Astyanax mexicanus: one gene and its partners. The protein of the gene in region 1 purifies or fractionates together with the protein of each later gene. This does not show direct contact. Links are inferred from orthologs where the notes say so. Each region holds a gene or a part of one and is shown on either strand. Other genes may lie near its edges.

Region 1 (8,678 bases):
ATAGTGTATTTACAGATTGTCCATGGGTGTGTAAGTGGTCAACATACTTGTCAATTTCAATTCCTAGTGGGTTGGCTGGCCGCAGAGACAGAGGGGAGATGCCTTTGTTCCGATCTGTCCGCATGTCATAGTAATTCATCTCATCTACCCACACAGCAGACTGATCCAGAATACCTGCACACATGCAAAAATACAAAAAGCAAAAATATTTTAAAATAATTTCTGATCCACAGTCAATGTTGCTTCATAGTCAAGAATGCCAACATTAACATTCAATGTATAAACCTTGTTTATAAGCCTGTCATACGATATATTTAATAATTTACAAACTTCAAAGACAATACTGTATATGTACATTCTATTTGCTGCCACAATTCTAATCTTTGTTTAAGATAACAATTGCCATTGCTGTATATGACTATATACACACAGAAAGATCTAAAACATGCAAGTGCATTTCTAACCTATCTTCTCATGTTTGAGGAGTTTGAAGGACACAGTGGATGTGCCTCGGCCTCCGCTCCTGGTTGTGACTATGATCTCGCCCTTGTCATCTTTAGCAGGACCAACTCGACACACAATCTTACTTGCAGACATCCATTCTGCCGTCAGCAGACAGTTATGACCACAGATAGACAGACCTGAAAGGAATACAGAAGCAGAATTATACTCTTAGCCTGGAAAACAGGTGCTCATTTTCAGATAATAATAAAAGATATATATAAATAGAAATGTTTCTTTTAAATAAGTAATAAAAAAAATTGAATATCATGATAAACAGAGCCTTCACATTAAACATTTAAATAAAAAAGAGTCACTTAAATACATCTCTGTGACTTTTGATTACTCCCTTTAGACTAAACTATTAAGTCTTTATATATTCAGCACTGTGCATGTTACCGATAAGGTCATTGGGTCCGGTTCCCAGGTTTTCTCCACGGATAGTGACTTTAGTCCATGGTGTGCCCTCATTGGGCGAGATGCCAGTCACTAGAGGAGGTTGGCGGGCACGAGACATTGTTCCCACACTGCAAATGCAAAGAGGACAAAGAAAAATATTAAATGTGATTACTGCAAATCTATGCTGCTTAACAAAGGCAGTGCATCTGCTGTAAGGATTGTTTGTTGTTTAAAATTGTAAATATCAGTTTTAAATATTCATCACATACATTTGTCTGATATATTTTTTAAACTGTATGATCCTGATGTAATTGTCCCACATAATTATGGTTTGGTGAAAAAAATATTTTAGGTTCTATAAAGTTTTTTTTCACACAAAGATTGAATCAAATATAATTTTTTCAATATTTAAAAATGTCATGGTTCTATAGAGCTCTAATTACAGCTATATCTACAACTCTACACATAGTGTATTTTACAGCTTAGTTCTAATATATAAGAAGCACTATTTTAATTTAGATAACATTATTATTCAATTCTTCAGAGAGTTATTTGCTTATTTGCATAAGTGGCAAAATTATATTTAATTGTAACTGTAATGATAGTACAAGTACATTACTGTATCACTGTATCAACAATATCTTTTGGTTAAATCACTGTCTGACAACAACTTTTCCGTGTAAACTGCTGATTAAAACCTGATACAAGAAAACCGATACAGCATTGCAAGTATTCTCCCTAATCTACCCAGTAGCTGTGTCTGCCACCTTCACACAGCATTACTAAACTAGGAGCACAAAGGCTATTATTCAACAAGCTTAAAGGACAATGCTGTTACATCAGCTTTCTGAAAATGTTTTCTTAAAAATCATCCAAGGTTATGTGCTCTCTGTAGCATCTCCATAAAAAAAAACTAAATATTAAACCATACAGTAGACTACACTGAGAATGTAGGTAGGCGATATTACATATTTTTCCCTTTTTGTTTCACTTGCACGTGTAAAGATAATCTCTATCTAAGACAGAAAAAATAATTAGGAAAATGGTTTATAAACCGAAGTTTTATAAACATATGAGTGTGTACACATGCACTATATTGTTGGCCTAATATATTTTAAAAACAAGCATTACAATCTAAAAATGTATCTTTTTTTTTGCCTAGTTGCTGTTTGATCTTTTTACTAATCATATTTACAGTACATATGAGGACAGTTGGCCAAAATTTATTGTTCTTTGAATGAAAAGTATGATGGTGTGATAAATTAAACACATATGAAGTAGGGGTGTGCATGTTTAATAACAACCTTTCACTTTACTCTGACTTTTTGCCACTGTACAATGTAAAACGTTTCTTGTGAATTTTACAATAAGGAAATGTCAAAACAGTTGCCAAAAATGATTGTAAAATTACAGTTATTCACTGGGTGGTGAAAAACAAAATTACAGCAGTATGTGTGTGTGTATGTGCAAATTTGTCTGTGCATGTGAACAATCTGAAGACTTTTCTACAATTTCAACTATTTTAGTAGTGTGACAAAACTTACTAAAGATGAGAGCGCTTTTCATTATTCCCAACAGTAAGTAGTAGGTGGATAAACAAAAAATTGTTAATATGAAATAATTGTGTACACTTAGGTGCAAAAGTTTGGTTTTGATAATGCTATATGTGGTTTTGGTTTCTGTGCTTTATTTTGCAGAATCAATTAAGTATTTTACAGTTTGGAAGTGTGTTTTTTTTTTTGTGAAAAGCTTTTTTGTAAAACCAGCATACAGAATTGTGTTCAAGCAGTCTGAAAAAATGTAAGAGAGGTGAAAATGTAGGACTTGGCTAGTATGTAACTGATTCAGGGAGGCGGTTAAGGATGTCACATGATTTTTACAACAGCAACTGTATTAATGCCTGTAGCCTGTAAACTTGTCATGTTAGTCAGAGGATCAAAGCAGATGAAATTCTAATAAACAGGCCAGTGATCTCTTTTAAAGCATTTGTTAAAAGTACTTTAGTGGGTTCACTTTAAAGCAGAGAGATACTGAACCCTGTCCTCCACCAGCTCTGCTCAGAAACAGCTCTCTATCCTCAAAATTACCAAAATACAATTTGACCTATAAATTAACATACAGCAGTAGATAGCTAACGCCAGCTTATCTGTTCTGCTTATAATAAAACAAAATAGCTCACCTACTAGCGTTACTATTAACCATTAGCAGAATAACAAACCAGCACAGCTGAGCTTGGTGTAACACCTTCACCACCGCTTTCAGTGTAAAAAAACAGGAGTGTTTCAGAACAGCAAAGAGCTGCTATAAATACTACCCAGCTAGGTTAGCTACCATACCATAACCTCGTTAATTAACTACATTTGTTTAAAAGTCTAACGTTACAGTTCCTTAGCGCTGAGGCTAAAAACAGTTAGCTCGGTTAGCGGAGCGGCTGGTTAGCCTCTGAAGCTATCGGCGCAGTCTTTAGGACTGACAGGAGAAACACAGGTCTAAAAACACTGTTTTACAATAAATTACTTACAAAGACCACCTAATATAAAAACCGCGGCGTGTTAACTGGTGTAATGTTAGATTAAAACCCACCTAATCTAGCGCAGATCACCGCTCTACCAGGGGCTGTGGCTGTTTTGGTCGCTCAGTGTACATCCGGGTCACTGCGTCTCTGGCCCCTCCCTGCTCCAGCAGTCACTGCAAAGAACAGACTTTAGCTACAGACTGAGTTGATGCTGGAAGTGTAGTCTGGATAAAAAGGTGAAACATTTTCACAAGAAAAAAAACACTTCCTCATGGCATTCCAAGATATTTCACGTAATAAGAAATAGTTTAACACCAGCAAAACCATTCAGATATATTATTGTTGCAATATTGTTAGTATTTTAGCTGCATTTAAATCATAGGCCTCTTTTTAGGGGCTATAGCCTCCTCTAAATTCTCTAGCTACTAAAATAAACGTGCATTATTAGTTTTGTTAACTGTGTTATGTGTACCAAAACTCACAGCTTAATTAAATAACCATAGGGCCTGGAAAGGCCACTGCAAACCTGAAACAAGGGTCGCATGAAGCACAACATATTCACCATCTACAAAAGAATGTTAAGTCATATTGTCATCATATTGGGGTATTGTCAAGAGTGTGATAATGATGAACTTCATTCTGGCAAATGGTTGCACACACCATTTGTGATGTTGCCACCATGCTTCCAAGCGACACTGAGGAAGGCATGGGTTCCTATGCCTTGTGCCTCTTTTGGCAGATTTGAAGCTTCATCACTATAAAGAAACTTGTAATCCACTGCAGTAATTGTAGTAAAGTATGAAAGTGACATACAGTATGTATAGTGCTGCACAGCAGGAGAGTACATTACAGTACCAGTGGGAGGAAGTATAGCCTAGACTTCACATAGCCATAACACAGCTTTCCACACTGCCTGATTGCTATATTGGTGCAGCTCAGATTAGACTGGACAATCTGCCTAGTATCCTGAAAACAGTAAACATTTGTAAAAAAGAAATGTTGCAGAATAGTTTTGACCTGTATCTGGGTTTTGGTAACTGGTAGATGAGTATGGTGTTTGCAGGGCAGTGTATCCAAAAATAAAAAAGGGTATTGAGTTTGTATTGCTGTATGTAATGTAGGGAATAGTATTTCGTGTTTGGTTAAAAGTGTGTTTAGAATTGCTAGCTGAATGTAAATCAGATAAAGAGCTTTTAGTTTAGTCTACCAGGTTAACAGCTATTTGAGTTAGTTATTTTCAAAGTTGTGCTACAGGTACCAGCAAAAACTGCAAAAGACTCATTTGTCATTTTGCCTCCTCGATAGATTGCTTTGCTTTTCTCTTTGGCTCAAATGTAATTTTAAATGTAATTTGCCCTTTTAAAAAAGTGATTTGAGTCATTTCAAAAGTAATTCAAAGAATTTCGAAGTAAAAGAGTAAAACTAAAAAATATATATTAATTTTATCTGTGTGTGTGTGTGTGTGTGTGTGTGTGCCTATCATTATACCTTGAGATGGGCAATTTTCTGAAAAAGTCAAAACTGTATTAGCTGGCAGGTACATATAATTGTGTACACTTGGACTGACTTTATATGTTTTTTTTCTTTATATGTTATTTGTTTTTCTGTTTTGTCTAGATGCCTTCTGACATTTTCACAAACCATATTTGTAGTGCAAATGAGGACAGTTGACAAAATTGACTTTAAATGTCTTTAAATTCAAAGTAAAAATGGAAAAATAAGGCTGGGTGGTGAAGGATGGGAAAAGTATGACGGGCTGGGAGTCGTATCTCAGGAAATGATGTCTGATAGAAAACTAAAACATCTTATTGTGAAGCACATTTCACTCAAATCTGTCCTCATACACACAATAAACATCCTGCAATTATGTAAGACTTCCAGTAGGAGCAGACCCAAAGAAATGGGCACGCAAAGGGGCACTGAATTTTTTTTTATTATTATTAATACAGCAGTAGTTTTACAGAACTGCCTATGATTTGATTTAGCTTACTCTTACTGATTTTGTCTCCAAAATTATTGCACATTTTTATACAATCCACTTCTGTGAAGGATTTAATTTCTGCTATTGTTACAAAATTATAACCTGTCATTATTTTGCCATCTTTACTATATTGTGGTTACTCTATGATACTTTACAACTCTAAAAATATTATTACGCTCAGATATAGACTATAGTATTGCTAGTGGTTATTTGATCTCTATACATACACTCTAAAATTGTATTTGACTGTGATTTGGTTTTACATTGGAATTCTTCTCCCTGCATTTCTGTTTATTCTAGGATAGTGGCTGCTTCAGCGGCCACCCATGCAGCGCGCCTTCACGCTCCGTTATCTCAGGCAAGGAGACTTTCCCCCTGATAAAGTGATAAAGCCTCAGAGAGTCCCGGGAGAGACTGAAATCTTTTAATTATGTCGGCTTAATCTCAGAGATCAAGAACGATTTGGTCTTGGCAGAGGCAGCACAGTGTTCCTTCTGACAGAAAGCAAGCAACCAGGGTGTGTGTGTGTTTTTTGGAGGGGGGCTGAGCTTAGTAGAATAAACATAAACACTCACAAGAGTTTATACTACTATTATTATATTGCTTAAGAATCATAAAGATATTTATTATATTTTATTATTTATATGTCTGATATTTATAACTTGAGGTCTGGAGTGGGATTTATGTATATAGTTTGTGATGTCTATGGTGATGATGACTATGCTTACCGTTTATTATCATTATTTATTTTTTACATTTTCTAAAATGTTACAACCTCTCCAAGACCCCAAGCCTGGTCTATACAATAACTGCTGAAAATAAAGGCTATTAGCAATTTGCCACAGAAAAAAAATGGTTTGATTAATACTTTAAACATACTGATATTTGATTGAAAATATTTATTTGAGTTGAATAAAACTATTTTAATTGCTTGTTACCACTTTAATTGAAAGTACAAACTACTTCTTAAGTAGAAACATGAAGAAATCAAAGAAAAATATGAGGATTTACTATTAATTTATATGGATGAATATTAGAAGCTGTAAAATCTATTTTGCTGAACTGCACATAAACCCATTGTAAAATATTTAACAGACAAACTTTATTTATTATAACAAATCTATTTATTTAGATTTGTCTATCGATGTATCAAATTATTGAAACCATTGTGTTGTTAGCAGACTGATTCTTATATTTATCAACAAATAAACTGAGGAGCTGACCACTTATTTGATATTTTCATTGTTATATGACAAAGCTATGAACTTACTTCATTATCCAATGTTATTTTCTTCCTGCAGTCCACTGGCCAACACAGACTTTAAACAAACTGCTTTTCTTGCAATTCTTATAAATAAAAATGTTTGATTATTTATTTAGTATATTTAGTTAGTTAAAAATTGATATTTGACAAAAAAGCCACTGAAAGCTGTGAATACTCTGATACTTCTACTGTAAACCATGGCCCATTGCGTATTGCTATAAGGCAGGTGATATGAAGAGATTTTTATTTTGAGAAGTTATGATTAGTGCAATGTCTTTTACATGTTATTGTCCAGCTTAAACAACTTTTTAAATAGACAATTATTTCCTGTATTAAATATAAAACTGTTATAGATGAATATTCAGATTATATATACTTGCGACTGTGTGTGTGTTGTTTTACTATTGTCTAATTTGAGTGGCTCTGTCCCAGTGTGTTCCCATGGGCCCATCGCCAGGAGGGAAGGCGCCATGTGAAGGAACGAATACACACACACACACACACACACACCCCTTGCCAGAGCTTTATGAAGAATCTTCATGATGGAGTTAAAAAAAGAGAAAAGAGTTGACATTTGGGTGTATGTGTTTTACTAAATTTGATGTTTTGCAAAATTTAGGAAAAACTGCAATAAATAATAAAGTATATAGTGCTAAGTGTATTACAAAGTGGAATTGTAACTAAGGTTGCTTTTTAGTGCAGAGTTGTGTAAAAAATGATGAACATTGGAGTTTTTGCTGATTAATGTATTGTGACAATATAAAAGGGGAAGGAGATTTTTCTTTTGGTGTTTTTTTTTCTGAAAGTGTGCAGCAATTGAGAAAATATGATGTGAAAATCTATGATGTGAATATTTATTTAAGGGCTTCAGTGTATATTACAACCTTCACCAACAGGGGGAACCGTAGAAGCAGGGAACCTTCCACACCGTGTGAAAGTCTGTGTTGGTGGTGCTCAATTTCAACAGAAAAGAAAGGCTTTGCATTTTAGTACAAAGGTTAATACTTGCACACTAGTGCATAAACATCTAAATATTCTCTATTAATTAAAGGATTTACATTTCACAGTACTTTACAGTCAAGCTAAGAATTATTTTGGAGCCTATTTTTGTTGCTGTGGAGAACCATTGTTTTAGTGTACAGTAATAAGTCATGGTTTGTCTAAATTGTTTACAATTGACATATTCATGTATAGGGCTAAAAAATAAAGGATTTCTGCCTTATTTGTAAAGTTGTGCCAGTCTTTCACTGTCAACAATAAACTCTGTATAAGCATTTGTTATTTTTCAAATTGAAACAGAATGTCATGAAGAATGAACCAAAAGAAATGCTCTAAAATTGCCTAATAAATGCAATATAATTTTTTCATTAACACTCACCAAAAGTTAAAGTTTTTCACCTTTCTTCTGTAAAGCTGAAATTGTGTAGATATTAGGTTTTGTGTATATGTATTTTTTCCAAGTGATTCTATGTTCTATATAGTGCAGGTTGTCACATATTCACCAATAATTAAACTGACATGTAAAATTACACACACTGCTTAGTTTTAATCTGTGAAATATATATATATATATATATATATATATATATATATATATATATATATATTTTTTTTTTTTTTTTTTTTTTTTTTTAAACAGGTAGAGATATGTTCATTTGTTGTTTTTTTTGTCACAAAAACAGTGAATCAAACAGTTTTTAATTTGCCACCAACTACAGAGGAAGCACTTTTTAACTGGTATGGAAACATTATCAGTTTTTCAAGCTTTTTTATTAAGGAGGGTAAATTCTTGGTATCTTGATATTGGCCTTTTAGAACAGTGTTATTAAGCATAAACTTTTAAATTCTAGAATAATAATATTTTGTCATTTTGCTTAAGAAATATTATTATACAGCTAGTTTAAATCACTGTTATAACAATGTTACTAACATGTTAAAATATTAAACATTACTTGGAAACAGATAAAAAATACCTTAATTGTTTAAAGTACTCCTCATAATGCACTGTAATGTACTGA
Region 2 (8,309 bases), on another chromosome or scaffold:
ATTTAAAGCATATATTTACCTCAGTCATACAATTTGAGTCATGAATTTACCCAAAAAGCACTATTTTACATTACATTACATTGCATTTGGCAGATGCTTTTGTCCAAAGCGACTGACAATAGTGAAGTACAAAAGTAATAGAAGTTAAAGGTAAAAACATCTTTAGATAGGACCTAAAGGAGGTCAAAGGGAAATAATGGGATAGAGGAGTGAAGGAGGGGAAGAAGGAAATGAGGTTAGAAGTAGTTAGTGTGTTAGAGGTGTTAGGAGAGTAAGTGCTCTTTGAAGAGCTCTGTCTTCAGGAGTTTATTAAAGATAGTGAGAGATTCTCCTGGTCTGGTAGTGGAAGGTAGTTAGTTAGAGGTGTTAGGAGAGTAAGTGCTCTTTGAAGAGCTCTGTCTTCAGGAGTTTCTTACAGATAGCTATTTAAATCAAATTTACCTCAGCGGTACAATTTCAGTCATGCATTTATCCAAGCAGAGCCATTTTAATCATAATTTTACCAGAGCAATACAATTTAACTTTTGAATTTACCTTACCTAAGTCAGAACTTTACGTATGTAGAGCTTTTAAAACATACATTTACCACAGCAGTGCAATTTCAGTCATGAATTTACCTAAGTAGAGCTATTTAATCATAAATTTAGCAGAGCAGTGCAATTTTAGTCATACATTTACTTAAGTCAGCATAGATATTCTAACCCAAAAATGCCTTTACCTTAGCAGTGCTGCTCAAGTGACATGTGAGCAAAATTTACACTGAGAAAGACAAACAGTTTTTTACTAATAACTAACAAATAAATGCTAAGGCTAAGTTACCTCAGCTAACGTTATCACTCTAGCCCCGTAGAGCTTAAATCTTTCAGCTGGAAAAAACAGTCAGTTTACAAAGATAGAAGAACACAAACAAACAACAACTCATACCTGAGAAGATGTTCTTGAGATTTTCCACTGCAGAGGCCAGCTGACTGTGCTGGACCACAGCATCCTTAACATCCTTCAGGTTCTCGATGGTGTTGATGCTCTGCCTCCAGTCCTTGCTGACGTCTGCTAACGAGTTCTGGATGTCCTTCACATCACACAGAGCGTTGTGCAGCTGAGTGAGGCCTGTTCGAACTCCGTCCAACTGGGACTGGATTGCAGCCTGTAGGACAAAGGGAAAGACACTGTTATACATTTACACACAACAACGACAATTATAAATATATTTAATAAAGGCTCGTAATGCAGTAAACACTCTCACTGCAGTTGATATATAACAAAGGCACTGATAAACTTACTTTAAGTCTGGCCTCTACAGATCCTTTCTTTCGTGCCTCTCTTCGTCTGTACTGCTCAACTTTATCCAGTTGATCTGATCGCTGGATCATCCCCGCCACCCTCTGCACCGCTGTGGCAACGGCCTCTCTATTCGTCTCCTCCATAATGGCAACCTGCACACACTGTAAAAATAAAAATAAAAAAATAAATAAAAACATGCTTCGTCAGTTATATTAAAACCAAATACTGTGCACATCGGCAAACCCTTTAAATTAACTTTGGTCAATTTTCTAATAATTTTTTAAGTAGATTCTTTTTACAGTAGATTTTTTTATATGTGAATAGTGCAGATAGCTGGGTTAATGAACAGATAACTCTTTTTCTGGCAACTTTATCGCTCTAGTCCGAATTCTATATATTCAGTCCCAGATCCACAGTACAGAAGACAGCACAAGCAAGAATGAGAGAGAGAGAGAGAGAGAGAGAGAGAGAGACAATGATAGCGAGAGGGAGAGCGAGAGAGAGAGAGAGGTGGGGAGACACAGTAGCCTAAACCTTAAATCCCAGCAGTAGAGCTATTTTAATCATACATTTACATCAGCAGTACAATGCAAGTCACAAATTTATCTAAGTAGATCTATTTTAATCATAAAACTACCTCAGCAGAGCTACTCAAGACTCATATAAGTGAAATTTACACAAAGAAAGAAGCCCTTTTGCTGGACAAATAAAAGCTAAGGCTAGGTTACCTCAGGTAACTTTACCATCCTAGGCCTATACAGGCTAATAATGCGAGCAAGTTGAGGAGACACAGCGGTCTAAACTTTAAACCCAGATTTTATCAGGCGATTATTTTAGAAAGGTGTCAGTTTGTTTCTAAAAGTTATACATGGGTGTCTAGTCTCTCTGTAAATTTTAAAGTACCAGTCAAAAGTTTGGACACACCTAAAATTCAGTATTTTTTCATTATTTTAACATTTGCTGCACGGTAGATAAATACTGTCATCCAAACTATAAAGAGAAAAACATATGGAATTATTTAGTAAAGAAAACATAAAACAAACAAACCAGAATATGTTTTATAATATTAAATATAGATTATTCAAAGTAGCACCTCTTGCTTTGATGACAGCTTTGCACATCTTGGCTGGATTTTCTTATTCAGCTTTATAAGGCAGTCTTTCATTTAACAGCTGTGCTGAACTCGTCAAAAGTTAATTACTTGAATTTCTTGCCCCTTAATGTTAGTTTAAGAGCATCAGTTGTGAAGAGGTAGAGTTGGCATGACATAAGATTATGATGAAACTGGCACTTATAAGGACCAGGAAAGGACAAGCCTCAGCCTCAGAAACCACAAGTTAACAGTCCCCCAGATAAGAGTAGAGTATTTTGGTTTGTTGAACACTTTTAAGTTAACGTTACTACATGATTTCTTATGTGTTCCTTCATAGTCTGGACAACTTCAGTATTCATTTACAATGTAGGAAAAAGACTGGTATGTTCCCATTCCTGAAAAACAATAAATGACTGTTTAACAGCGGGTTTTAACGTATTTTGAGCAGGTTTGAGGTGGACAGAGCTGCACCCACTAGCTAACAAGCTTAGCTAGCTAAACTGAACAGATATATACATCTATTTACATAAACATATAGCTTAGCTGCAGCTGCTAACGCTACATAAACACTAAAGCTAACAGGCTAAGGTAAGCTAACTCTTTAGCCTGGGCACAAACAGCTCCTGGCACCGGTTTCTGAGCGCGTTCTCCGCTTATTTAAGGTGAAATACGGTGTAACAAATGTTTACCCGGGCTCAGCTGGTGTTCCTAAAGGCTCCCGCTCAGTGTTTTCTGCATTAATATCATATTATTCTAATTATCTGGCGTTATTTTCCTCTTACTGCGGCGCTCAGTCTTCCTGGTCGCTGCGCCGCCCAACCCCGCATATGCCCATAGAGACAGGCACGGCTGCGCAGGATTTGCGCAGAAAGGAGCAGGGTCAGCCATAAGCCAGATCAGGACCAGGTGAAAAAATCAATTAATAAAAAAAGAAATTAATGAATTAAAATATATAATAAATATATATAAATAAATAATAAAAAAATATAAAATCATAATAACGTTCATAACGCAATTAATAATAATAATAATAATAATAATAATAATAATAATAATAATAACCACAATGATGATGATAATAATAATACTAATTCACAAAAATGACATTACAAATAATGTTAATAACCAAAATGTTAATGTTAATGACACTTGAACATATATATATATATATATATATATATATATATATATATATATATATATATATATATATATTAGTTTAGCTTATCATTACTTTTACTATTTTTTTTAAACATTAATAATAATCATATATTTGTTAATATTAATAATATTAACACTAAAAATAATGTTAATAACACTATTAACACTACTTCTACTACTACTACTATTAATAATAATAATAATAATAATAATAATAATAATAATAATAATAATAATAATGTATTACTATCCAGTTAGTAATGTTAGGAGTTGAATCTTAACATTAGTCAACAAGTAAACAGTCAGGTCTGGCAGTTGATAGTAAAGAACATTGAATAAACCTGCTTTTTTGGTTGCATTACATCTGTTAAGATTGATGATGGAAAAACAACAAATTTTGAACTTTTAAACTTAAAACCTAGTGATCATTAATTTTATTTAATGATGTATTAAATTAAAACTGTACTTTAAGTAAACAATTAGCTAATTTTAAAGGAAACACTAGTCATGACCTAAGGGTTAGAGAACGTTGCTGATTTGAGTGTGTGGGCGCATTGTCACTGATATTAAAAGTAAAATGGTTAGATGTAGAGTTTGAATCCTGCAGTACAGTAGTGATAAAGTGTGATTAATACTGCTGCAATTATTCCCGTCAATAACTGTAGAAATAAATATATAATAAACACATTTTTCACAATTTTCCTGCATGCCTAAAATAAGACAAGACTCTTTTCTAGGGACAATGCAATATTTTACTTACATTTCAAAAATACAAACACAAAAATACGACTTTCAGTGATTGCTGCTCAGCAGCTAAATCGTGTATAAAAGAGGTTGTGAACCATATTCAAAATATACTGCAAAATGAGTTTGTTGAAATCATTAAAGAAAATACATACCATAGAATCCATTACTTATAATATTCACTATTCATTTAGACTACAAAAATGACAGAACTGACAGAAGGGAATTAACAGTCTGTAAACAGGTAAACAACACAGATAGACCACAGATAAATGTGCCTGTAAACTCAGCAATATTTGTTATGAAAAGGATATAGCTGCAAAATTATAACGGTTTATGTTTTATGTTGATATATATATTTTTTTATTGTTAATCTGACAAGTGTAAACACACAGCATATGTTTCAGACAGCAACTTAAACCTCTGCAAGCTATTCATTCCAAAACACAGTGCATAATTAACAACTTATTATAACAAATAATCAACATATATTCTAAAACACAAAACAGCCCCCGCCCCATTAAATTCCCTTTATTTATACATTGTGCATGATTAAAAATCATAAAACATGATACATATCACCTGTATTAAAGCCAGTTGGGATGAAGACCAACATGTAATCTTTATTTAAAGAAAACAGTACATTTATGTAATTTTTGTGGCATTTAAGAGTTATTTGCATTACATACAAATAAAAAAAAACATTGAATATACATATATTTAAAATAAATTTCCACATCATTGTAAAAGTGCTAAAATATAGAACTTCCCCTCAAAACCAGTGCTACTATGAGACCTGCATCTGCAAAGGGAGGGGTAAACCTGAGCTTCAAAAGGAATACTTCAGCATTTTTTTAACCTAATCTCTCTCTGCTGCGTCTGTAGCACAGATTCAACTGAATAGACAACTATTACATTGTGATTCCTGCTACTATGTAAAAAAGAGACTCAAAACAGACTTTCTCTTTTCTGATCTCTCTTTTTTCTGAGGTCTTAATAGTCTCATCTTGACTTGACCAAAGTTCCCCTGAACTGTAATTTCTCATTTTCTATTTTCTAGAGAATGAGACAGAAAGGACAGAAAAGAAGTTTATTGTACCGTATTTTTTGCACTATAAGGCACACTTACAATTCTTTAAAATCGTCAGTGTGTCTTATAATCCGGTGCGCCTTATGTATGAATTTTACCAGTCAGGCTGTAAGGAGCAGTAAAGCCACTCTGCTGAAATGCAGCAATATACAGGAGTTTCAGTTTATTTCTTCAGCAGTATTAGCATTAGCAGCAAACTGCGCTAGCTCTTTTGCCGTTCAGAGGTGAGTATTATCGGCCTGTAGCCTGCTGCTAACCCCGGTAAGCTTTATAATCCGGTGCTCCTTGTTTTTGGAAATAGACCAGAAAATAGACATTTATTAATAGTGTGCCCCCCAATATGGTGTGCTTTTTAGTGCGGTAATAATACAGTAAGTGTCTGATGGATGTTACATAGTCTGATGTTGCAAGTAGCAGGCTGGCAGCTGACCATATCTACGCCTGATGTTTTAAGTAAAAAATCAAGGTCAACCTCTAAGGCAAAACTGGTCTGATGTGAATCTATTGTATTAGGTGCAAATTGATCCAATCTGAATTTGATGACAAAAGCAGCAATTGGCCCAATCTGAGTCTGACATGAGCATAATGTTCTACAATAAAATTAAGAAAATTGTGTCCCAACTCCCAATTTACAACTCAAATAGAAAATTGGCCCAATCTGGTTCTATGCTCCTATAAAAATGTACATAGATGGAAGTAAAATACAGCCTAATCTGAGCCTGATATTGAGAGTGAAAATTGTCCCGAAAATGAACCCAAGGAGGACACGATATTGTTAGTTTAAAAGCAGCCTGACAAACCATATGTTAAAATCATTATATCAAAATCACTTGTTAAAATCATTATATCAAAAATTGCCTCAAATAAATTTCATAAGTAAAAAATCTTAAGTTTGAGCCTGATGAAATGAAATTGTCCAAATCAGGCCAATACAAATTGCAAACCAGAAAAACCCAGCAAGTCCCTGTTCCAAAGTGATGCACTGACAAAATGACCACCAAGACACCAAGTCATTAGTGCGATTTAGACTCTTTACATAGAGATTAGGTTAAAAAACAGTGGAGTATTCCTTTAATCCATCACTAACTACAAAGACATAAGACATATCTGACCGTAAAGTACCACAGATCAGTTCAGACATCATTGCATAAACAAATAGGGATTGGCTTTGTGCGTGATTGCGTTCATTTGTGTACAGTTCGCCACATTTCTGTCTGCATGTGCCTGGCTGGGATCGTGGCTGCTTTCAGGCCAGGGTGGAGAGTCCATGGGCTCCCGTTTGATGGAGTGGAGAAGACTGTGGCTCCTGAACTCATAGCTCAGCTTGTAGTCTGGCTGGGCGAAGACTTTGGGCTCAGTAGATCCATTTAGGTAGGCGTGTCCATCGAGGCAGTGTGCTTGGTTGCCTAGAGGGTCAGAATGGGCGCCATCTTTGTTGAGGGCACATTTTAAAGGCTTGCTGGGACCTGCATAGAGATACCGTTGGTGGCCGTTAAGCGTTGGGCTGATACCAGCCAATTTGCCACCGCTTTGGTTGCATGGGCTACAGTGGTTGTAGTAGTTTCCTTCGTTTTTTACCAGATGGCTATCGTTGAAGGTCATGCCATAGCGCCAAACCCCGTTGTGGGGCATGGTGGTGTACCTACTGCAGCCGTTCTCTGAATCTGAGTCCTGCTCTGTTTTAATGGCGGTCTCTGGCAGCAGGAGACCACCGTAACAGTCATTATGTGCCATGTACCTGCCCTCAGTCTTGCCATTGCCACAGTACCCGTCCCTTTCGCTGTGTCCGTAAGGTTTGGCCTGTGATCCCATTGGTGTGAGGCCTGGAGAAGTGCGGAATTTGCCAGATTGTGCGTGTTTGCTTAACTTGCTAGAAAAATAACCAGTAGGACCTATTCGAGTATCCCATGGACTTTCTGTAGCATGTACTCTGGGGACCCCCACGGAAGACAGGCAGAAGTCGAGGGGCTCGTCCTGGCTGTAGTAGCTTTCGGTCCTGTAGGGGACGCCTTCTTTGGCAAGGGCAGCCCATGGACTGCTGTGGCAGGGGTCTCTGGAGGACGTGGTGGTCCAGTTGAGCAACAGCATGTCCCCAGGGTCAGTGGAGCTACGAGACATACGGTACTTCTTCTCGCTATGAACAAAAAAAAAAAAGAAAGTGAAAATGTAGAAAAATCAGCTATAACTTTAAAAACCACTAATGACTAGTGAATATCTCATTTCAATTGCATCTGATCTGATCCCATCATGTGGGACCCACATGATAAAAAGATATGCCAAAAGTCATGCAAACTGATCATGAAGTGATAAACCAAGAAACGACTTAGGAACACCCACATCTGTACAAGTTGTGAGGTTTTATCTTGCGAGAGAAGTTCAACCTTTGCCTTAATTATGGAGGTTAATGCGAGGCCAGATAGTAGGTGCCAGCTGAACCAGAAATGTAACATTTTTTGAACAGTGGACAGCTTTATAATCCGATGTGCCTTATGTATGAATTCTACCAGTCAGATTGTAAGGCCCTGGAGTATCATCAGCATTACCCGCTAATCATGTTAAGCTCTAGCTTTTTAGCTGTTCAGAAATAAGAATTATTACTGGCTAGCACTGTTGGAGCAGCATTAGCGTTAACCGCTAACCGCACTAAGCACTAGTTAGCTCTTTTAGCTGTGTGTTTACCATGTTAAAACAAGCTATGTGGGAGAAACTGCTAGCTAATATCGGCCTGGCTTACCGGAGCCAGTGTAGCGCAGTCGGGTGGCATTAGGCACTAACCGCTAGCAGTTAGTCGCTACTGCTAATGCACCAGCCTTAGTGCTGGAGAAATTTGGGTATCTTAGCTTATTGTAAATAAACAAAAGCGTTTTACTTATACAAATAAACTGTTTTTAGGAGAGAAATTTTGTGTGGATTAACATCCAGCATTCATTTGACTTTAAA
Region 3 (8,103 bases), on another chromosome or scaffold:
ACGTGGTCCAGGCAGAACAGGGTTTTATCCACATTCTCCTGCAGACGCTGCAGATTCTCCGTCTGCTTATGCACCGGGATGATGGAGTTCTCCAGAGCCATGAGGCGGCTCTCAAACGAGGACAGGATGGACACCTGAGTGACAGAAATAAAACTATAGTCGAAAAAAAGTTTGCTAGTAGTTCTAGCTTACTTTCCCGTTCCACCTTAAATAGTGAAACAGATGGCAGGAGCTGCAGCATTTAGGGCGGAAAGGAAAAATAAAATAAAATAAAAGCTAATTTCATCTCCCCATTACAGAAGAATCAAGATATTAGCAATAATAATTAATTTCTTGACCCTTTCTAAATACATACAATGCCCTAAAGTTAACTAGTTAACCAGCAGCTAGGTTACGGAACTTTAGCGCTCCACTGCTATCACATCAGCCTGCAGGCTCACCTAATATCCTGGTAATTAAGCAGTGTTATTAATTAATTTATTGTTATTTATTTATTGTTCATTGACAAACATCATTGTGATATACCAGTGGTTCCCAACTCAATCACTCAGGAACCACATTCTTCCACATTTAGTGGTTTAATGGTTATAACAGTAACACATTAGCAGCTTCAGGACTAGTGTTGGGGACCAGTTTGATATGCAAATTTTGGTATATTATGGAGGCTATCTTCACCTTTATAGGCTATTGTTCACCTTTATATTCACCTTTCCTGTCTTGCCCAACAAATTTAGAATACTGTTTTTTTGTATTATTCAGTTTGTCACCCTAATAACTATAAGAAATTGGTTTATTTCAGAGCAGAATATTTATATAAAAGTCACTTGTGCTGTCCTTCTGATGACATATAGGGTGCTTGTAGGGTTGTCCCAATTCTTAGGGGGAGGATTTCACTCGAAAAGAAGGGGTAGGAGTAAATGGTAGGGCCAAGGGGTGAAATGGGATTGGATGGGTTTAGAATGGGACAACATAAAAGCAGAAAGAATGTTGAGGTGTCCAAATACGTTATTAAGCACAAAATGCAAAAGATAATGTAGCTACAAGACATAAATACACACACACTGTTTCTGAATCTCTTACCATGCCTTTAGTGAGCTGGTCACTCTTTTCCAGATTCTCCCGAATGAAGGACAGAGTTTCCTGCTCCTGCAGTTCAGCACACACACACACACACACACACACACACAAATCAACAAACCATTCTAAATTTATCTTCAATAAACACCAGATACACTGGATTTAGCATAAACTGCAGGAGCAAAATGACCACATGTACAATTCTACTGGACACCACGATACAGAGATTATAGTTAAATTTTGAGAAAATAACCCATCATATATTTATAAAGCTTTAACAACAGAAAACTTTACCTTTTTACAATCAGAACAGGACTGAATACTGAGCAGTAACTTTTTTTCTTATTGTTTTAAAGACGGCACATATGTATAAATATTTAAAAGGCTAAAATCCAGATGAAACAGAAATGATAACAACCATAATCAAGCCCATAACCTTTTGGTCTAAAAATCACGTCAGAACTATTCAGAGATTCCCATTATTTCCATTTGACCTCCTTTAAGCCCTGTCTAAAAATGTATTTTAACATTAAACTTCTATTCCTCTATGTACATTACTATTGTAAGTCACTTTGGACAAAAGTGTCTGCTAAATGTAATGTAATGTAAAGTAATGTAATGTAGTTATATGGAAGACTAAACATCTGAATTGTTGAAATAGCCAAAAGTACACTTTTAATGGCCTTTTCTGTGCACACGCCACAAACAGAGTCGCTTGAGGTATGCTAAGGCACATTTGGACACATTTTAGTATAAGGTGCTGTGGACTGATGAAACTAAAATTGAGTTATTTGGAGGGCGGTCGGTATGCATGGAGGAAAAAGCATAAAATGTGGTGGTGGTTCCATCATGCTGTGGGGCTGTGTGTTCAGTGCAGGTACTGGGAATATTTTTAAAGCTGAGGGTATCATAGATTCAATATCAGTAGATTCTTGAGAATAATGTTGAAAGTCTGTGGCATGATTTAAAGTGGGCTGCTGTTCATGCTCAAACACTATCAAATCTGACTTAACTGAAGATGTTTTGTAAAGAAGAATGATCCAAAATACCTTCAACCAGAAGCCAGACTATTATTGGAAGCTATAGGAGAGTTTAGAGGCTGTTATTTCTGCAAAAGGATGATCTAATAAATAATGATGTAATTTTATGTGCCCACATTTTTGCACCTGTCTAATTTTGTTAAAAAATGATTGCACACTTTCTGTAAATCCTATAAACTTCATTTCACTTCTCAAATATCACTGTGTTCATCTGCTATATGATATACTTAACTGAAATTGCTGATCCAAACAACCAGTTATATTTAGATTTATAAAGGAAACAAAAGGATAAAACACACATTCACACACTGTGCTGTGATACTCTCAGATGTGAATTGGGGATATCAGGAGTTAAAGTGAAAGACAGAGTGCTGTGAGGAATTTAACATATATTTTAAGGGTCTGTAATACACACACTGTCATCATGGGCTCTTTGGGTTAAAGCATAGTGAGTGAATGGCCTGTATTTAGATTAGCTAAAGCTAGATTTATCACAGCAGCTCTGCACTGTAGAGAAGACCACCACACTAAGACCCTACAGCCCCTCAGAATAAACCGTTAACTGTTAACATACATGTGTGTATTAATGCTGTAGAGTGTGTTTACAGCGTGTCAGTGTTAACAGTGTGTAAATAAAGGATGTAACGTTAATTAAGGCTATTGAACCGCAGCCCGACCTGCTTCAGCTTCTCCTCGATCTCCCGCTTCCGCGCGGACGCGTCCTCCGTCGGGATCATCTCCACCCACTCTCACACAGTATAGTTTAATATTAATAATCCGAAATTACTCAGGTTAAACTGATCACATACAGCTTTATATCACCATTCCGCCCTGAGTAACAACACTCAACACCGAGCTCCGCACAAACTAACGACCGGGGAGTCACTATCCACTATATTACAAAATAAAAGCCTTAGATAAAAAAAATAACGTTTTACAACGACAAAATTAACATTAATATTACAAAAAGATCCCACGTTTTAATTTAACCCCAACTGGACACAAAACAGTATGAGTAAGAATCAGAATCTGTAGTTTAAAAGGGTAGAAGAACGGAAACGGAACGGAAATCAGCTGACTATTATCACACCAGTTCAATATACTGACAAACGCTTCGACACTTCAACATAAAAGTCCTCCCTCATCGCCAGTTATTCTATTCAGTTGCGCTGCCTTGTCAACCCGTTCTACACTAGTGTAGTGCATATTAAACCTAACTTTACAAAAACAAAAAAGCACCGTATTACAGCATGTTCCCAGTAGAAGGCCCAGTAGATGTACGTTAGTATATTTGAATAGCATAAATCACTATATTGTGGCGGCTCTGGGTTGTGTGTGTGGCTGCCTGCAGGCATGTTTCTGTTCTCCTGTGTGCGAGGATGACAGGGGTGGGGCATCTCCCTTGGGAGGGGTTATGCAGAGAGGGTGGGCACCACTCTGGATCTGCCATCTGGGAGACACACAGCTGGGTTGGTGGCCTTTGGGCTATTTAGCTCTGTGGTTTTATGGTTTAGCTCTCCTAGTCTTGTTAAAGACTGTGAGTGAGTGATAAGCCAGTTCAATAAAAGGAGCTGTTGAACATTCAGCATGAGTCTCACGGGTCTTCTTTCCCCTTCCACGCCACAATATTATGGCCAATTAATGTCAATAAGAGATCATTATAAAATGCTTTGTGTTGTTTTATAAAATATTTTGTGTATTTTTTTTATTATTATTAATTTCCATTTACACTTTTGTGCAATGACAGTGAGTCCAGGTTGTTTAATCCACACACAAAAACACATTTAATAAATAAATAAAATAAATTCATAAAAAAAAAGGAATATAGAAAAATCGTAGGTTATCGCATGCGCAGTGTCTTCAGAAAGCACGCATCGATGGGTAGCACAACTCGACAGAACACCTGCTTTGACGTTGCTCTGCATAAGCTATGATGTAACAAATATGAACTTTCAGATTTCCACAAACAAATATTATTGGCTTGGTCTCTAATGTTTCTCTACATAAATACTACAATACTTCAGGAATAATAAAATTCGTTTTTATTCTAGGAAAACTGGTATTTCTTAAAAAAAAAAAAACTGTAACAGTGCTAAAGCAATCGTAAGTGAGATTTATACATAATAAAAATTTTAATTATTAACTTATTCTAGACAGAAAGGTGTTTATTAATAATTAAGCTCTTCGTAAAGTTCAGTGCTTTTACCTTATTTTAATTTAAATAGTATATTCCAAAAGTAATCACTTTTAAACTTTTAAAATATAAATATAAATTACTTATACATTAGAATGATTCTCCCAAACAATAAAGAATAAACTGAACTGAAAGAATGCACTGAAATGTAGACAAATCTATTTAATCCAGTTCACTTCAAGAAACATTTCATCACATCTCATCACATTCCACAAATACAGAACTCATACTAACTCATACTGACTGATCTAACAACCTCTCTTATAGATATGATAAACATTCTAACATCTCTACAGAAATGCTCTGAAAAATGTTCTATTCATAGTTCCAGAGTGTCAAAAGGTATTTTACATTAATTCATTTACACAGGTATGTACATGTTTTACACATCAAAGCAAAACATCAGAGGAAAGTATAAAGACATTCGTAGTTAGAGGTGGGCTATATGGCAATAATTTATCATATTATTATTCATTTTGTTATTGTGGTTCACAGCATACTTTATACTGAGCATATTATGGATATCATCAGTGCTTTAAGAAGACTTATAATAATTAATAATGATTAATAATAAATATATCTGTACTCATTATGTGAGAGTAGCAGTTTCAGTCAAAATATCTTCACAAATATTAGTGAAAATCACTCAATATTGTGAATGAACACTTTTGCCATATGGCACACCTCTATTTTTAGTCCCAGTAAATAATAATAAAAAAAAACAGGTTTAAAAGTAACATACACTATCTTGCAAAAACTATTCAACCCCCTTAAAAATCACTAAATTAGTCATATTTGTATATTTGTGTTACATTTTACAAAAAAAAAAAAAAAAAAAAAAAAAATCATGCTGTGTACACATGTTGGTCTGTCAGAAAAACGATTTAGTTTTAGAATATATACTGTCAGAAAAATAACTGCGACAAACAAAATTATTGTCACTGATATGATTATGAATGATGCACTCAAATTTAAAAATAAAAACGTATAATCTCAGAATAATGAACTAACACAAAATGAAATAATAAACAATGATTCAGTATCTGCAAATTGTGTAGTTAGTAAAATAAAATTACTTTTGCTGCTTTTATAGATTTTTCTTATGTAGTTATTATTTTTTCTTATGTAGTTATTTGATTATTCTATACATTTTGTTGACAATTAATTTTTCCATATATTTTCTCATTTTTTTTATACAGAGTGAAAGGCCTGTAGATGACAACAGGGTACTCTGTAAAATACTACATTTAATTTCTAAATTAATAAAGTTAAAACATTTTGTTTTAATTGTTTTAATTTGTTTTAAAATGAAAAAAAAATCTGCATGTAACACTGCCAGGATAAAATTTCAGTTTTAAGTAATATATTTTCCAGGAAAAAAAATTGTGCTAAACACTTTTTAAACGGGTTGAACAGATTTGCAAGTCCCTCTATTCTGTGATATATATTTTCTTACTTAACTAAGTAACAGTGAACATTAAAGAATAGGAGACAGGACATCCCCAAACTTCTGAAGGGTTCTGTTAAGTAACATTACCATTTTATAGGTCCAATATATGTTAATATCCCACAGCATATAAATTAAATGTTAATAAGTTAAAGAAAACTCAAACCATAACGTTAACCAAAACTAGAACAGGTGTGTTTGAAATACTGCAGCATCTGCAGAGCGGAGTCAGCTACACACTAATGTTCGCTTCAGGAAGTCCTTTAACTCCTCCTCCTTTTAAACAGCTGGAGTGACAGTGCAGACTCCTCCTCCTCCCTCTCACGACTCCTCCTGTTTACTCAGAGCCTTCAGTAATAAACATAAACAGCAGAAATATAAATTAGTGCATATTAACAAGCAAGAAAATGAATGACACTGGAATATGATCACTATCAGTAGACTCTGTATTAATAACCTCAGTTGCTTTTCCAAAAGACATTCCCTTGATTATGATTTGTCCCAAAAATCTCTTCATTAGCTTTTTGTATTTTCTGACCACATGGTTCATATTAATAAAAATATGCCAAAAATAAAAATTTGGCCAAATCCCAAATCAATCATTTTGTTAAACGTATTTTGTCTTGCTTTAAATAAAACAATTACAAAACTACAATTTAAAATATTTATTCAATTAATAATTGAAAAGTCATTCTTGTCATTAAGATTTATTAGGCGTGGAATTCCATTTGGTTATTTAACAGGCTCTTTGACCTATCAAACATGAAGGTAATAATAATGTCATAGTTGACCAGTGTAATGTATGTATTTATGGAGCTGATTTTAATGTTGTTGCTGATTTGTGTTTGATCAAGGTAACAATAAAGTATTATGCATATCGTCGCTGTCCAATCAAAAACACTTATGTCCAAAACAGCAACTTTACAGGAGAGAAAAAAACTTGTAAACTTTAAATGGAAGTCAAGGTAAAAAGAGTTTGTTTCAGGTCATTTTAAAGAGTTTCTGTTGGTCCGTTCATCAAGAAATTTTGGCACAGTGTAAGGGACAGCTTGTCTGTTCAAATAATGTAGTAAACTAAAAATCGACAAAAATGGAGATAAGTGTTTTTCACAGGACAGCAGCGATATATCATATGCATGTATATACTGTTTTTTCTGCACTATAATGTGCACTTAAAATCCTTTAATTTCCCAAAAATCAACTATGCACCTTAAAATCTGGTGCACCTTATGTATTAATTTTACCAATCAGGATGTAAGAAGCAGTAAAAGCCACTCCACTGAAGTGCAGTGTTACACAGAGGCTGGAGCAGTATTAGCATTATCCACTAACCGCAGCGCTAGCTCTTTCACCATTTTAAATATGAGAATATCGACCTGTAGTCTGCGTGTTTACTGCATTAAAACTGCTGTATAATAGCACCCTGGCTTACCAGAACACCCAAGGTTCCTCAGTGTGGCGCTATCGGGCGGCATTTACTAGGGCTTTGTGCTGCTACCTGCGTCTAGTGCTGCTGCTAACCGCAGTAAAATATTGGAAATATAAGTTTACTGTAAATAAACGACAGCACTTTACCCACCCACCCACCCATATCTTGTTTTCCAAGATATCCCCTTGAGTAATTAATAATAAACACAGGCTTGTTTGCTCTTGTTTGCTCCTAATAACCTTCTTGCATGTTTTTGGACTTGCTAATCCCCTACTTATCTGTTCTAAAACCTCCTCCTCACCGTGATTGGTCCTAATAACCCCCTCATTCGTTTCTGAGACCCACCTGTTTGAGGAACTGTGTTCCAAAGTAGTTGGTGGCCATGTTCTTCAGATTCGTTCTGGTGCCGACTTTACAGCGAACATATCCATAAAGATTCGCTCCCTGCAGAACCACGCCCATAATTACCACTGCCTGTACAAAGCACAGAAACACAACACCTGGGGGTTATATTTAAAAAAAGCAGGATTTTACAGTTTAGACAGATAACGTAAGCCAAAACTCAACCATATCTAACACAACTATATCTAATACAGCTTAAATTCCTTACATTTCAAGTTATTTGCCAAAATAACAAGGAGATGTTTTGTTAACTAGTGCCCAGGTCCATCAGCCCAAACCCCACAAGCTAAACTGCATATACATATGAAAATATGGAAAACAATTGTAATTGATGTTAGTTTTAGATACATCATATGCACTCTATACACCAATCGGCCATAACATTAAATCCCTTCCAGCTGAAGTGAAGAACGCTGTTGTTTTGGTTTCAGTGGCTCCTGTATAGTAGTTTAGAAATCAATATTTGGTGGAATAACCCTGGTTTTTAATCACAGTTTTCATGCATCTTGGCATG
Region 4 (7,781 bases), about 31 Mb from region 1:
TCATTATTGAGTAAAATGTTATATTTTTCAAATCTGCCATTTGGCTAATCCAAAGTCTAGAGTTGAGCTATACTGGTGTGAGCTATAAAACTTCAATTTGTCCGATTTGTGCTTTGAGACGTGCTGAAAATCAGTCAGTGCATTTGACTCTCTTACATGAATCTTATCTATCCTCACTAAAATATCCCAAAATTATCATTAATAATGTAAATAATTGAAAAAAAAAACCCTACAAGACAAGGTTGCTGTCTTTGACTTAAACATGTAACCTTCACGAATCCCAGTAAATCAGATTTTTTTTCTCCCCAATTTAGCTTAGCCAATTAATCTAGCCACTTACTAGTGCTCCTGGCCACTAGGAGGGTGAGTCAGCCTCTAATACGTCTGTGTTGAGTGAAGACATTGTCTACGGTGTAGCCTACGCAACTGCCCTGTGCAGTGGAGTGCATTTATACTTCTCTACATGTGGATGTCTGCACCACTGCTTTGCGCTGCTGTTTAAGGTGCAAAGGCAGGGAACTCTGTGGACCAATCAGAGCTGCTGCTGTCTGCGTCGCAGAGTTATACTTCTGGGGAGGTGCGCATCGGGCTTCGGAATAAGACACATTATAGGTTTGAAAAAGAAGTATAATAGAATGGGGTGGAGCCATAGTTTTAGTTTCATAACTTTTAAAGTTGTAGGGTGGGCAATATGACAATATTTTACTGTATCATGATCAGTTTTATGATCATGATACATATTATACTTTCCTGAGTATTTTTCGGATAACATCAGTGCTTAAAGAACACTGACCAATTGCACATTTAATAATAATAATAATAATAATAATAATAAAATAAATCACTAACTTTTTTTAAAATACAAATTTGTATTTGTATTTTATTTATTTGTTATTTTTAGGAGCGCCGCAACTGATGAATTTTGTTTGCAATCGTGTATTGCGATACATATCGTGTAATGTGAAAATATCTTAAAAATGCCCTAAAATAATAATGTTTACCCTATTGCCCATTCCTAGGAAGTAGGGAGCTGTTTGGGATTTACCAAATGTTTCCTTTTCAAAGACAAACTATGTATTTCAATTACCTCTGTGATCCTCACAAAGTGCTAAAACCAAACCCATCAGAACACATTCAAACACTACTAAAAACACTTCATCCACTCCTCTGCCTTTAAACATTTATCAACTAAGGCAAGAGTCTAAATGCACATTAATTTGGGACTCTGGCACTTTGATCTGGCACACAGGACAGTGCACTGTCACAGCACTGGAGCTTTGAGAAGGGGCAGTCCCACCATCAGCCCTACTCCCCTCCTGCTGCTCCCTGGAGGAAACGGATGCAGAGGACTGTTTGACCTCCCTCTGAAAGAAATCAAAGATATGTGCAGAGTTACGATCCTCTCTCAGTCTCTTCCGCCCTCCTGCAGCAGGAGCAGCACCTGGCTTTTGGGGGCTTCCGAATGGCCTGGAAGAAGTTGAGGCTGAAACATGTGAGCCACTTCCAAAGTGTCTCGAGTTGGAACTTGTAATGCTAGTGCTGCTCTCTGGCTTCTTTTGGATTCCGAAATTCGGCAAACTGGAACCTGCTGAGGAAGTTTTGGGGCTGCCAAAGTATTTAGAAAGGACTGGCCCTGTAGAACCAGGCTTTGGTCCAACAGAGCTACTGGAAGAACTCTTGTTAAACGGGTTAGTTTCAGTACGGTTTGTACCACGAGAAACCTGCCCAGTGGCTTTTCGGTCGAAGGCACTACCTACAGCTGACGTTCTAAAGGGCTGGCTGGATGCTGTGGCTGCAGTGGCAGATTTTGAGGCACTTGAAATGCTAGGTGTTTTCTCAGGAGAGTTCGGGCTCCTGGCCTGAAAGAGGTCCTGCACTGTCCTCTGTTTAGGTCTTATCAAGTTGCTGTTGTCCTTTGTGATTCTCACAGGAGAGCCATTAATGTTGATGAAGGCTTTGGTGTTGCTGACGGACCTTTTCGGAAGTGCGGTCACAGTGCTGGTGCTGACCCGCCGATCAACATGGTTTGAGCTGGGTTGTGGTCTGGTGTCTGTGGGAGGAGTTTTAGCTGGTTTCTCTGGAGTTCTCAGCTGTTGTGTGGAGCTTTGGCTGGGTGGTTTCTGTATGGATGCTGGTGGCTGTGTGTTCCCTCCCAGAACAAAACCTCTACCAGTGAAAGGAATGATGTTCCTGATGTCCTGAGAGCCAGAACCTAAAAGAGGACAAGTAAACAAAAAATTACAAATGTTTTGTGTGTACATTAGGCTTACAAAAATGTGAGTGATTATATTCATATATATTATTTATATAATCTGCAACACACATATAGGATTATTGAACCACTCATTTGATTACAAAGTAGATCATTTCTAGCAATACCACAACTATTTGCTAAATAAATATTGACTCTTTCCAAGTTGCAATGCAAATGGATAATGAATAATACAACATGTAGCACCTATACACCACATATTAAGCCCTTTTTAACAAAAAACTTTTAAATAAAAACGTAATTCCATCTGAGACTTATCAGTTACTCCAAACACAACTTAGTGACTAAATTAGCTTTATTTAATGACAGCCCAATCACCTGCAGTGCTGCTAGCTGGGATAATTTTGCTCGCAGGCTTCTTGGAGGCATTCTTCTCCTTCTTCTCCTCATTCTTGCCCTTTTTTCCATAATTTTCTGGCTCTTTAATCTTAGTGTACGTTCCTCCACAGGTTCTTCGATGGTCCTCCCACCAGGGATCTCTGGCTGAAGGAGCTCGGTTCATCGCTCTCTTCACGTAACCGAAGAACGGCTTACGGTTCTGACATGGACCATCACAACGCCACCAGTGCTGACGGTAAACATCCACTTCATCATGGAAGGAGTGATAAACCTGGAAGATTAGGGAGATTCACTGCTTAGTTTAATATAATGCAGGAACTGAAATGTCATATAATACATCATATAATACAGTTACTGGTCACTTTCTTACATACGCCTACCAGACAGAAGCAGTGTGCAGATGTACAATTATAGTATGTTAACTGGTAATGCACAGGTATGAATACAGTAGTTTATTGGAATATTTAATTACTACAGGGGGAAAAAAGTCCTTGCACAATGTCATTACAAATAACCGTAAAATATATGTTCCATATCGTTTTGTTTTAATTCAGAATAAATGTCCATTTAATACATACAGAAATGTTGGTTCCAGTGGCTTTATTGATTCGATTCATATGTTTGCAGAATTCAGGCCCATGACCGTCCCGGTCTCTGTTGTTCTGGGTCACGAACAGAAGAGCGTGTATCATCTCATGCAGAAGTGTCTAGAAACAGAATTTCATAAAGGTTGTGAAAAAATACTTAAAAAAGCAATTTGACAAAACAAACAAAAACTGTCAATATAATACTACACACATAATCACAGACAGTAACAGGTCCCTTGTCTTTTCTTAATCTGCACAAATTTACTAACCTCCACCAAGTCTTTTCTTGGCCTGAGTTTCAGTAGTGGTTCGCTGAGACGAATTGAACACAGACCACCTCTACCTTCATAAGAGCACACACCAGCACACCTGGATTTAAAGATTAAAATAAATAAATATACAATTTTTACTTCATTAATATTTTGAAATCCAGGCCAGACTCTGATCCTCACAGGCAATGGCACAAATGACTTTAATGGCCCTCCTCATTTAACATACGTACATGATTTAATGAATCAACTTAGGACCTGAAAGGAACCAATTTTTGACCCACCTAGCTATATCAAAAGATATGCAATGATCAATTAAACATGATACTGCCTTTCTGAGCTGCAAATTCCAAACTGGAAAAGTTTTTAATATATATATTTTTTTTATAATATAGGACATGTGCAATGTGGATGGGACATAATTATATCAGAGTGAGTTTAGTATCAAAATTGGTGTAGATGTGAGTTGCTAAATATTTTAAGCGGACAGGAACAGAGTGTTTATATCCCTATCTGGATGGGATCAGTTTCTCAGGGTGGCATTTGTGAACAATATTTCACGCTTTTACTCAGTGACAGAACTCTTGCATCCAAAATGCAATTGGAAAAAAAAAAACAGGAGGACCAGTGACCAGTGTATAATAGCAGCTGCATTCTATTGTGATAAACTGTGTTTTATATTCAATTAACGTATAATCCGATTAGTCGACTAATCATAAAAAATAATCGGTGATTAGTCGACTATAAAAATAATCGTTTGTGGCAGCCCTAATGTGAATTTAAGGTTGTGTTTAATTGAGCTAAGTTAATATCAGCTGAAGCTCACAGTGTCATCCTTGCGCTCCACTTGACCTCCACCCCGCTGAGTTTCCCCCAGAAGAACATGTCGTTGAACTGCAGGAACATGGCTCGGACATCTGGACTGGGGTCCAGCATCTCCCATTTCTCGTCCACGATGGAGAGAGGCGGCTGAGGGTTTACTACAGCCCAGTCCGAGGACTCCTCAGAGCCCAACCTCCGCTTCTTACTGAAGGGCAGGTCTCCGTGGTCTCCGTGGTCTTCAGCGCTCCAGGACGGAGCCAGGGCCTCGTTATTGAACTGCTCCTGCAGCTGCAGCGCCAGGATGAAGTCCTCGTCCTCCATCACGGTGAAGGCGGTGAGTGCTGCTGCTGCTGCGGGGTAACTCTGGACTGATTATGTTGTGTTTATGAAACCGAGCTCACTGCTACCATTCTCACCGCTGTAGATCAACTATAAGTAGTTAAATTAACCTGCCGCCGACTGGGACATCCACCACTCCACTCAGAGCTCATCTCAGGTAAAAAAGTATTCAGCTCTGCAACAGAAAAGAGAAGAAAAATCGTGTTTTAAAGAAGACAGAGCAGCAGAAATCAAACAGAACACCGGTTTTCATACAAAAACAACCACGTTTCCGTTAAATAAATACTCTTTTTTCTTACCAATAGGACATCGTCTAAATCAATGTTAAAACGTCTAACCGAGACGTTGTGAATAAAATGTAATGAAATCGGTTAAACTCGCCATTATTTAGTTTCTGAAACCAAAATAGCCGTTAGCAGCTCTGAGCGGCTGCGCGTCACACAGCCTCAGCGCACAGCCTGTCGGGATACGGTTAGTCCTCCGGGAGACGAAAACAGAGGGGCGTGGCCGTAAGAGTGTAATATTTAATTTTATCTTATTTAATTTATTTATTAAATTCTTTCATACATTATATATATTTATATATACAGCTCTGGAAAAAAATAAGAGACCACTTCAGTTTCTTTGGCTATTTATAGGTATATGTTTGAATAAAATTACATTTCTTCCATACTCCAAATAAAAAAAAATGTCATTTAGATCATGTATTTGCAGAAAATGAGAAATGACTGAAATAACAAAAAAAAGAGATAGAGCTTTCAGACCTCAAATAGTGCAAAGAAAACAAGTTCACATTCATAAAGTCTTTCACGCTGCTTTTGGATAACTTTATACCACTCCTGGTGCAAAAATCCAAGCAGTTTAGCTTGCTTTGATGGCTTTTAAAATTTGGTAAAATCAAGAAACAAAGAAAAAAATCATTTTTAAGTGGTCTCTTCTCAAACTCATCTACTGACTTACAAAAAGCACACAAATAAACTTCAGATTTAAACCTTCTTTCTATAAACACAAGCTACAGCTTATTATTTATTATTTATTTATTATTCTGAAATCAGTCTTCTTCACTTTAGAAGGATAGCTAGGCTATTTTACAAATTTGAAATGAGCTAAAATAATGATTTACTACATTTTTTATAATCCAGCTGTCACCAGTCCCGTGCTCTGACGCAACCAAGATCCGCTAGAGCCGGTTTATGTGGAGCCTGCCCCACTCCCTCCTCTCCCCCATCTTATTACAACAAAAGACAATTGAGCCTAGAAGGAGCCCGAGAGCGAGTTCTTAATGAATGGGGGTGAATGGAGCTAAACGGCTAAAATCTCAAATTAAAAATAGCAAATAACTATTTGTCCAGAATATTCCTTTAATTTTTGAAAGTAGAATTAAGCATTTTGCTAAAGAAGCAAAGAAAACCCTACCTGTATTTTTAAATGTATCTACATTTTTCTACTTTTAGACAACAGAGACGCTAGCATTTCTGCTAATGCGAGCTGACTGGTTAGTGAGATACTTTATGCTGTCATAGGAGACACAGCCAATGCATGTTTAAATGCCTTCTAAATGGAAAAAAAGGTTTCTAAAATATTTTTGCGGTGCTTAAACCTTTGATATTGTTCCGTATTAAGGAAATTAGAAGATTTTTTTGGTATAAAAATAAAAAATATATATATATAAACTATGATTTTGTTTAAATGCTCCATAACCTATTCGTTTTAGACTCTCTCGGGGGCGCCCTCTAGTGGTCAAATAAACCCAGAAGAGATTTTTTGTTTGGGTGTTCTCCTCTGTGTACGTTCTCTGGCGCAGGCTTGTCTCTTTCCGGGAGAGGAAGAGGGTGGGTAGTTAGCAAAACAGTAATGGCGGCTTGATTTTGCTGAATATTTCGACTCTCAGAGCGATTTTTTTTTCCATCTCTGCAGGAATAACCCAGTCTTTGAGATGGCTGACACCGGAGGACGGCTGCGAAAACAGCTGGAATCGGCTAATTTCGACCCGCAGAATTACGTGAAGCAGCTGTCTCAGCAGTCAGACGGAGACAGAGATCTGCAGGAGCACCGGCAGAAGATCCAGAGCCTGGCGGACGAGACAGCCCAGAACCTGAAGAAAAATGTCTACAAGAATTACAGGCAGTTCATCGAAACGGCTAAGGAGATCTCATACCTGGAGAGCGAGATGTACCAGCTGAGTCACATTCTGACCGAGCAGAAGAGCATCATGGAGAGCATCACCCAGGCCCTGCTCTCCACAGACAAGGATGAAACTGCCAAAGAGATGCTGGCTGCTTTTCCCAAGGAGACAGAGGAGGTGAAGCAGAGGACCCTCACAACACTACTGGAAAAGGTGGAGGGGTGCAAGAACATCATGGAGGCACCTGGCAGATACCTGGTCTACAATGGTGACCTGTTTGAATACGATGCTGACAACATGTCCCAGATTCAGAAGGTGCACGCCTTCCTAATGAATGACTGTCTATTGATAGCAACCTGGCTGGCGAACAGACGCGGCACTGTCAAGTACAAGTACAACGCTCTGTACGACCTGGAGAGCTTTGCAGTTGTCAACGTGAAAGACAACCCACCCATGAAAGACATGTTCAAGATCCTAATGTTCCCAGACAGCCGCATCTTCCAAGCGGAGAACAGCAAGATCAAGAAAGAATGGCTGGAGATCCTGGAGGAGACAAAGAAAAACAAAGTGGCAAAAGATCGACACAAGAAAGAGGAGGAGGTCCCCACATCACCGGTTCGGCAAGAGGTCGCCTCCACTAACCCCTTTGATGAGGATGAACCCTTAGGTTCGGAAGAATTGGTGGACCTGAGCCCAGAGTGGATCCAGGAGCTGCCTGAGGACTTGGATGTCTGCATTGCCCAGAGGGACTTTGAGGGTGCTGTGGACCTCTTGGACAAGCTGAATGAGTACCTAAAGGACCAGCCAGTCACTCCACGGGTAAAAGATCTTAGAGCCAAAGTGGACGAGCGTGTCCGGCAGCTCACTGAGGTCTTGGTGTTTGAGCTTTCCCCTGACAGGTCGTTACGTGGGGGTCCCAAAGCGACCCGCCGAGCTGTGTCTCAGCTGATTCGGTTGGGGCAGTCCACCAAGGCCTGCGAGCTGTTCCTGAAGAATCGTGCAGCTGCGGTACACACGGCCATCCGGCA

Evidence for each region.
Region 2: the proteins of exoc2 (region 1) and exoc3 purify together in Homo sapiens (affinity purification with mass spectrometry; 6 studies listed by BioGRID and IntAct, counting the BioPlex papers as one, with this or other methods). This does not show direct contact. The link is inferred for Astyanax mexicanus from reciprocal best matches to the Homo sapiens genes EXOC2 and EXOC3.
Region 3: the proteins of exoc2 (region 1) and exoc7 fractionate together in Homo sapiens (co-fractionation; 4 studies listed by BioGRID, with this or other methods). This does not show direct contact. The link is inferred for Astyanax mexicanus from reciprocal best matches to the Homo sapiens genes EXOC2 and EXOC7.
Region 4: the proteins of exoc2 (region 1) and exoc8 purify together in Homo sapiens (affinity purification with mass spectrometry; 7 studies listed by BioGRID and IntAct, counting the BioPlex papers as one, with this or other methods). This does not show direct contact. The link is inferred for Astyanax mexicanus from reciprocal best matches to the Homo sapiens genes EXOC2 and EXOC8.

Annotation. Positions count from the first base shown.
Region 1 is NC_064408.1:76,634,511-76,643,188, forward strand, and holds the start of exoc2 (exocyst complex component 2), read right to left. Parts: upstream 3,596-8,678; 5' UTR 3,484-3,595; intron 1,029-3,483; 5' UTR 1,019-1,028; coding exon 901-1,018; intron 642-900; coding exon 465-641; intron 175-464; coding exon 48-174; intron 1-47. UniProt on the Homo sapiens protein: Component of the exocyst complex involved in the docking of exocytic vesicles with fusion sites on the plasma membrane.
Region 2 is NC_064411.1:51,609,092-51,617,400, reverse strand, and holds the start of exoc3 (exocyst complex component 3), read right to left. Parts: upstream 3,216-8,309; 5' UTR 3,064-3,215; intron 1,443-3,063; 5' UTR 1,425-1,442; coding exon 1,281-1,424; intron 1,145-1,280; coding exon 925-1,144; intron 1-924. Other genes in the region: ahrrb (aryl-hydrocarbon receptor repressor b), read right to left, coding at 6,510-7,503. UniProt on the Homo sapiens protein: Component of the exocyst complex involved in the docking of exocytic vesicles with fusion sites on the plasma membrane.
Region 3 is NC_064422.1:17,965,606-17,973,708, forward strand, and holds the start of exoc7 (exocyst complex component 7), read right to left. Parts: upstream 3,148-8,103; 5' UTR 2,855-3,147; coding exon 2,795-2,854; intron 1,147-2,794; coding exon 1,081-1,146; intron 135-1,080; coding exon 1-134. Other genes in the region: tvp23b (Golgi apparatus membrane protein TVP23 homolog B), read right to left, coding at 6,080-6,106, 7,533-7,661. UniProt on the Homo sapiens protein: Component of the exocyst complex involved in the docking of exocytic vesicles with fusion sites on the plasma membrane.
Region 4 is NC_064408.1:45,574,395-45,582,175, forward strand, and holds the start of exoc8 (exocyst complex component 8), read left to right. Parts: upstream 1-4,610; 5' UTR 4,611-4,623; intron 4,624-6,337; exon of another isoform or gene 6,338-6,460; intron 6,461-6,545; 5' UTR 6,546-6,564; coding exon 6,565-7,781. Other genes in the region: DNA-dependent metalloprotease SPRTN, read right to left, coding at 1,185-2,212, 2,591-2,882, 3,190-3,318, 3,468-3,567, 4,294-4,610. UniProt on the Homo sapiens protein: Component of the exocyst complex involved in the docking of exocytic vesicles with fusion sites on the plasma membrane.